Cricetulus griseus: one gene and its partner. The protein of the gene in region 1 interacts with the protein of each later gene in a pairwise test. Links are inferred from orthologs where the notes say so. Each region holds a gene or a part of one and is shown in the gene's direction. Other genes may lie near its edges.

Evidence for each region. The genes of interacting proteins can lie anywhere in the genome.
Region 2: the proteins of Ppp1cb (region 1) and Ppp1r3c interact in binary tests that used the Homo sapiens proteins (3 or more experiments, as listed by UniProt). The two-hybrid records come from large-scale screens. The link is inferred for Cricetulus griseus from reciprocal best matches to the Homo sapiens genes PPP1CB and PPP1R3C.

Annotation. Positions count from the first base shown.
Region 1 is NC_048600.1:11,979,570-11,983,217, reverse strand, and holds part of Ppp1cb (serine/threonine-protein phosphatase PP1-beta catalytic subunit), read left to right. Parts: intron 1-139; coding exon 140-211; intron 212-992; coding exon 993-1,144; intron 1,145-2,280; coding exon 2,281-2,415; intron 2,416-3,648. UniProt on the Homo sapiens protein: Protein phosphatase that associates with over 200 regulatory proteins to form highly specific holoenzymes which dephosphorylate hundreds of biological targets.
Region 2 is NC_048596.1:25,029,211-25,033,403, forward strand, and holds the start of Ppp1r3c (protein phosphatase 1 regulatory subunit 3C), read left to right. Parts: upstream 1-1,385; 5' UTR 1,386-1,482; coding exon 1,483-1,496; intron 1,497-3,380; coding exon 3,381-4,193.

The DNA of each region.
Region 1 (3,648 bases):
GCATTTGGAAAGAAAATAGTGGAGTTCCTCCATGAATCTCTTAAGGTGTAACAATTTATTTTCTTGGTAGAAGGATAGAAAAGACAACACTATTACAATGTTCTCCTAGATTATCAGGTTTTTCTCTTTTTATTTATAGGACTGTCACCAGATCTACAGTCTATGGAACAGATTCGGAGAATTATGAGACCCACTGATGTCCCTGATACAGGTAAGTATATACAGAGGTTTATAGTTAATTGCTTTATGTAAAATGTTGACATGCTTGAACCTAATTATATTTAGTGGAAGTCATTCAGAAACTTTAGTATCATCCCTCACCAGTTAACATTTGATACTAAGTTTTGGTTTGGGGGATATTTTAATGGAAAGTTTCTGAGATTTTGAAAATGTTTATTTCAGTGTTTGATGTTCAAAGAGTTCAGCCTTCAGAAATAGAATAATATAGTCCTTACATCTTTTCCTAGGTTTAAACAGACATTTCTCAAATTAAGGATCTAATTTGATTTTGTTCTTCACCATATTGTTTTATTACTGTAGAAATTAGAAAAGCAGGATAGAAAGTGGGAAAACAAAGAATCTAAAGTGATCAGGATAATTCTGAAGGAAAAAACTACAGGGAAAGACTAGCCCTGCCTGCCAGATATAAAATCTTAACTTAAAAGTGTTTATGTTTTCATGGCTTAATGATAAATAATGCAAGAGGCTGGTGCTTAGTAGTGTAATTGTAAGAAATGGATAAGCTGACATTCAGGGAATGATAGTGAGAAACTAAACAGAGACTTCCAGATATTATACTTGAGTGTGCCACACACTATTCGTGTATGCAGAAATCATCAGAAAGTGCTGCCTTGGGAGTCCAGGAGAGGCTATATTTATATGGTTGCTTTAACAAAGAATGGTTTAAAATGTAACAAGGCAGGAGAAATATATATGTGCTTTATTCTGTACTTTCTTCTATTTCATTGATTTGTTTTTTCTGTTTTCTAAAGGTTTGCTTTGTGATTTACTGTGGTCTGACCCAGATAAGGATGTACAAGGCTGGGGAGAAAATGATCGTGGTGTTTCTTTTACTTTTGGAGCTGATGTAGTCAGTAAATTTCTGAATCGTCATGATTTAGACTTGATTTGTCGAGCTCATCAGGTATGTAGTGTTAAGACTCTTGAACATTTTGTTGTTAGTTTCACACACTTTCACTCATAGTCAGACAGAGCACGCACACACACACACACACACACACACACACAGACACACAGACACACACACACACACAGACACACACACACACACAGACACACACACACACACACACACACACACACACACACACACACACACACACACACACACACGAACGACAGTGCAAAACTGTCTGAAACTCTAGTTCTAGAGAATCAGACGGCTTCTTCTGGCCTTCAATAGCACCAGGCATGCAAATGGTGGACAAACATACATGTAGGCAAAACACCCATACACATAAAAATAGAGTAATTAATTGAAAATTTAAAAGATAATGTGGTTTATATAGGGAAAAGAATGGATGAGGAGGCCAGCACATAGTCTGTTCCTCAAATGTGTGGGTATTGTTTTTTGACAAAAGCAAACTGCTATGAAAAAATTTTTGAGGCAGTTGTGGGATGTGATTACCAACTGTTTAATAGTACATTGTTAATTATTTTAGCTGTGATCAAATCATTATTGATACTGTAAAAAGAGTATTCACTGTTCTCAGTAATGCATACTCAGTGCTCATGATCTGTAAAACATAATTGGTTTGTAATACATTGACTGGAAGACACTCTGAAAGTTATCTTTTGTCCCTCTTAATTTTGCTTTTTAAAGTGTGTATTATTTTTCTGTGTGAGAATGTTTTGCCTGCATGTATGTGCTTGCACCACAAGCATGCCTAATGCCTAACAGAGGTCAGAAGAGTGTCAGATTCTCTGGAACTAGCAATGTGGATGTTTATGAGCTAACTGTTGATGTTTGGAACTGAACTCAGGTCCTCTGGAAGAGCAACATGTGCTCTTTAACCGATAAGCATTGCCTCAGCCCCTTCAGCCTCCTTTTTTGTTGCTGGTTGGTTTTGTGGGTTTAAAAAAGAAAGGTAGGGTGTGTGTGTGTGTGTGTGTGTGTGTAGATTCATTTTGTTTTGTTTTCTTACTATATTTTTGAGTAAAGCCAGGGTCTTGGCACTTGAGAGGATTTGGCCTTTGCTTCATTAATCAGTTAAAAATTACCTACTAGTGAGTGTTTTTATTTTTTATTTCCTTCGACAGGTGGTAGAAGATGGATATGAATTTTTTGCTAAACGACAATTGGTAACCTTATTTTCTGCCCCGAATTACTGTGGCGAGTTTGACAATGCTGGCGGTATGATGAGTGTGGATGAGACTTTGATGTGTTCATTTCAGGTAAGACATGAAATATAAGTGTCTGTCTGTCTTTTTTGAGACAGGATCTCCTTGTATAGCTCAGGCAGACCCTGACCTTGCAGTCTTCCTGCCTCTCCTTCCTGAATATCAAGATAGTAAGCTAGGCTGGGCAGTGGTGGCACATGCCTTTAATCCCAGCACTCAGGAGGCAGAGGCAGGTGGATCTCTGTGAGTTTGAGACCAGCCTGGTCTACAAGAGCTAGTTCCAGGACAGCCTCTAAAGCCACAGTGAAACCCTGTCTTAAAAAAGAAAAGAAAGGGAAAGCTTAGGCTACACCATTCTTGGTCCATATGTTTAAGTTGTTAATTCTTCTGTGATGTACTGGATCGTGTGTAACTACTAAAAGAATGAGTGGCAAGCTGGGAAGATGACTGAGTAAATTGCCTGCTGTATAAGCATCACCTTAGTTTGGACTCCACTTCATGTACAACAGTGGCATGTGCCTGTAATTTTAGGCTAAGGTGGTAGAAACAGGGGGTACCAGGACAGGAGTTTGCTGGACAGCACAGTAGCCAGTTAATGAATTTCAGGTGCATTGATCACCCTTTATCAAAAAAAAAAGAAAAGAGAGAGAGAGAGAGATGAGGAAGATACCTAACATTTGTTGACCTTTCTCGTATGTATGTATGTATGTATGTATGTATGTATGTATGTATGTATGTATGTATGCATTCTCCCACACTGTGAAGAATGAATGCAGTGGATACATTAGGGTTTGGGGGGATGTTTGTTTGCTTGCTTGTTTTTTGTTTTTTTTTTGGGGGGGTCAAGATTGGTGCATGAGATAGGTATTGGGGAAGAGAGAATTATAAATTTAGACAAAAATAAAATATTTACCTAAGAAGGAAAATTTCCAATAAAAATATGCACGTTTAAAAGGCTCTTGCTTTCTCGTGCTTCTTGTACAAACTTGTTACTCACTGGCTGAAAAGCTTACTGCTACAAAGGTGATTTCATGATCTTGACATGTACATTACCAACATCTGAGGATGCATAAATTCTTTGTATAGAATGGCATTATGTTCAGATATAGACCATATATATCCTTCCTTCTGTATGGTTAGCTTCTGAATTGTTTACAATGCCTAATATAGTGTTTAGAGAAGGACCAAAAATGTCCATACATGTTCAGGCCAGAAACCTCTTTTTCCGAATATTTTCACTCTAATATTAGTGTGGTTCTTGGATTGAACTGATTGAAACCCACTGGT
Region 2 (4,193 bases), on another chromosome or scaffold:
TCTGTGTGCACATGTGCAGGTCCAGCAGAAGCCTGAAGGGGTCGTAGATCCCTTGGAGCTAGAATGACTCTGTGTGTGTGTGTGTGTGTGTGTGTGTGTGTGTGTGTGTGTGTGTGTGTGTGGTGTGAGCTGCCTCATCTGGGCGCTGGAAATTGACCTCTGGTTCTCTGAAAAAGTAGCAAAGCATTCTAATAGCTGAGCCCTCTCCAGTCCAGCAGCATGCATTTTTTTTTTTCTTCTTCATTCTAACTCCATTGTAACAATTCTTGTGTTTGACAGGTAAGTGACACAGGAAAATTGTGTTCATTCTAATTGGCTGCTGGATAACCAAGCAGAGCCAGGTCATGGGGCTTTATGAAAATATTTTGCACATATATGCATATAACAACACTTAGCAAAAAAGGAGGCCATGAGTTTGAAGAACAAGGAGGGATATATAGGAGTGTTTGGAGAGAGGAAAGGGAAAGGGGAAATGATGTACCTAAAATCTCAGAAAAACAAAAGAAGAAAATTTCTACTTGACTAACAAAGTTAGTTTTATAGTTTTTAATTGTACAACTGATTTGGTCCCTCAAGGTCCAAAATAAAATAAGGAAACCTCAGTGAAAGCAGCTGTCTTGGGAGGTTTGTGACATGTAGCCTGACTTTTCCCTCACTGCCTAAGGATGTCGGAACCCTGGCAGGGGTTCGGGCTGCATGCTGCATCTGACAATGAACAAGGACAGTAACTTCACGTTGGTCTCTTCCAAGGAGAAAACGGCACACAAAGGGTCTGCTTGCTTATTTAGAGGTAGAGTCTTGCTAGGCTGTCCAGGCTGGCCCCCTGCCTGTCTTCAGAAGTGAGGGATCACAGGGCCACCTCCTTTCATGGGCTCACGAGGTTTCTTAACATCCCCTGCCTGTTTTCAGTGGCTGAATGGCGTTATTTGTGGAGAAAGAAAAGTCAGCCAACTTCTGTTTGCGTGGGCCAAGGAGCTTGGACACACAAAGCAAGGAGCACAAGTATTTCAAATAACACAGCACCGGGTGGAGACACAACTTTCTGAACTCAGATGCAACTCGGCACAGACCCACGCATAACACATAGGACCCCTCCAGGCTCGCACAGGCCGGGAGAGGCCAGCTGAGTATTTGCTGCCGTGCGCTACGTGCGGCGCGCGCGGTTCTGGGAACGCGGCTGAGTCCCGCTGGCCCAGGGTTCCCTGACACCGGGCTCGCCTTCCAGCACGCTCCGGGCTCATCCAGCCCCGCGGTGATCACGTTCCGGGGACAGGGGCTCGTGGCCCAGCTGCGCGCTGGTTGGCCCTGCCGTCGGGCCGCTGATTGGTCCGAGGGGCCAGCTCACGTGGTCGGGCTCTGATAAGCTGCCTCCCGGCCCCGGCGGTCAGTCGGCGGGCTGGACCGTGGCCCTGCATGCACTAGGTGCTGGCTGTGAAGTTGCGCGGGGTGAGGTTATCGCGGTCGCCGCTGCCTCTCGGCCCAATGAGCTGCACCAGGTAGGTTCAGTGCAACTCTGCGCCCTAACGGAGGGGAACCTGCAGCTGCTGCAGGACGTTGGGCGCGGGGGGCGGGGGGGGGAGGCTCCTGTGGTTTTGTCTTTTCTGCAGATGGAGACCCCGGAGGCCTGGAAGGAGTGGAATTGAGTTGTACTTCTTAGAGCTTGTTTTGGGAGTCAGCACCCCAAAGCAGAAACTGCCTTAGCGCGAGTCAGCTATGGCTGGGATTCCCTTCTTGAAGTGACTCTGTTGCCTTTGAGCTCAAAGACCCAAGCACTTGAGGGCTGCATAGTTTGCACCCTGACATTGCTGTTGGGGTAGTTTAGGCTGTGGCAGAAGTTACAGGACGATTTTGCATTTATTCATTCCTCCCATTTGCCTATCCTGGTTTGCCATAGAATACTCAGTCTCAAGGTTTGAGCAAACTCTCATTTTTAACTCTTGCCCAATTCTAAAATTTACTATAAATGCAGACGTGAATAAACAAATAACAGCTCAGCAAAACAAAAACAATGAATAACAGCTCAATCAACCAAGCAACCGAGAACATCCCATGAAATTTAATTGCGTCTCCAAGTCGTGATGTAGTAAAAGAATTCTCCCTCCCCAAATCCTGCCTGTTAATGGTTGTTAGACAAATACACTTAGAGCTTTTGTCTGTCAGGAAAACTCCTATTAAATGAGTTCTGTATACATTCTTTACTGTCTGTGATGATGACCATTTGCCAGCGGGCTGTGCTTAGTGAGGCTGTGAAGAGAAATTCTTCAAGCCAGACTATGTCTGTCTGTCTATCTATCTATCATTTATTTATGCTCAAATATAAATACCACTTGCCCAAACAGTAGAAAACACCAAAGGAGCACAAAATGGGTAGATTGTGTAATTCTGTCCTGCAAAGAGAATTAACATTTTAGTCTTTTTCCCTGTGAAGTTTCTCAGTATTTATAAATTCTTATACCTACTATGTATTTTAAAACAGTTTAATTCTCAGATTATCAGTTTTTAAAATACATTTTATTTTGCATATATAATGTATACAGCGGGTTACAAGACAAATATAATAAAGTAGTTATTATTGAACAGAATGAATATGTCTATTACCTCAGCAGCCAGTTTTTCCATTTCCATGTGAATGTGTCATGAGTATCCCTCTGTATCCTTCTATATGAATGTAGGTTATTTAAAGGTTTTTTTTTTTTTTTCCTTTAGCACATGAGATGTTGGCTGGTGTTGCAGTTGGTCATTTCTGAAAAATTAGGATGAGCTTGATAAAATACAAAAGTCTTTCTGACTTCACATAATAACTACATGACATTTTAAAAATTGCTTCATTTGTCTCTTTTCAAGTGGATTATGTCTCCAGAGAAGTAAAACCGATTTAAGAGCCAGAATAAGAAACAGCAGCCAGAAGGAGCAAGAGGGTCTCTGTCTGGGACTGTGATTGTGGAGGAGCCTGTCTGGTCAATAGACTTGAGGAAGCTTTAAGTACATATTTACCTTGTTGGTGCCACACCATGAAGCTCCACTGATTTTTTTCCCCTAAAGCAAAGAAACTCCTTTAGTCACATTGACCTGACAGGTAGAAGAAGCACTGACCCAGAACAGAGCAATAATCCTCAGAGCTGTGTCAGACATCATCAGGTCCAACCCTCTTAGTTTTCAGATGGGGAAAGTGAACTACCCTGAGTGTTTCAGGTGGTTTACACCTGGTCCAATAGTCTGCCAAGCACAGAGCTAGTCTGCAGATCTAGTCACCTGCGTGTTCTCCTCGTCTTCGTGTGTTAACACCTCCCTGATTAGCTGTAACTGGTGCACATACATGTGGGACCAGGGCAAGACTACCCCAGCTGTTGGTGACCACCTCTCTTCCTTTTCCTTTCCAGAATGATCCATGTGCTGGATCCACGTCCTTTGACGAGTTCAGTCATGCCAATGGATGTGGCCATGAGAATTTGCTTGGCTCATTCACCACCCCTGAAGAGTTTCCTGGGTCCTTACAGTGACTTTCAAAGAAGAAATTTTGTGAATAAATTGAAGCCTTTGAAACCATGTCTCAATGTCAAGCAGGAAGCCAAATCCCAGAATGAATGGAAGCCCACAAATGACCAAGCCAAGAAGCGGGTTGTGTTTGCCGACTCCAAGGGGTTATCACTCACTGCTATCCACGTCTTCTCTGACTTCCCAGAAGAACCTGCGTGGGACCTGCAGTTCGATCTCTTGGACCTTAATGATATCTCCTCCAGCTTAAAACTTCATGAAGAGAAAAATTTGGTTTTCGATTTTCCCCAGCCTTCATCTGATTACTTAAGTTTCCGGGACCGTTTTCAGAAGAACTTTGTCTGCCTAGAGAACTGCTCTTTGCAAGAGCGGACAGTGACTGGGACAGTCAAAGTGAAAAATGTGAGCTTTGAGAAGGAGGTTCGGGTCCGAATCACCTTTGACTCCTGGAAAACCTACACAGATGTGGACTGTGTATACATGAAGAATGTTTACAGCAGCTCGGACAGCGACACCTTCTCCTTTGCCATCGACTTACCCTGTGTCATTCCCACTGAGGAGAAAATTGAATTTTGTATTTCTTACCATGCTAATGGGAGGGTCTTCTGGGACAACAATGAGGGTCAGAATTATAGAATTGTCCATGTACAATGGAAACCCGATGGGGTTCAGACACAGATGACACCCCAAGACTGTGC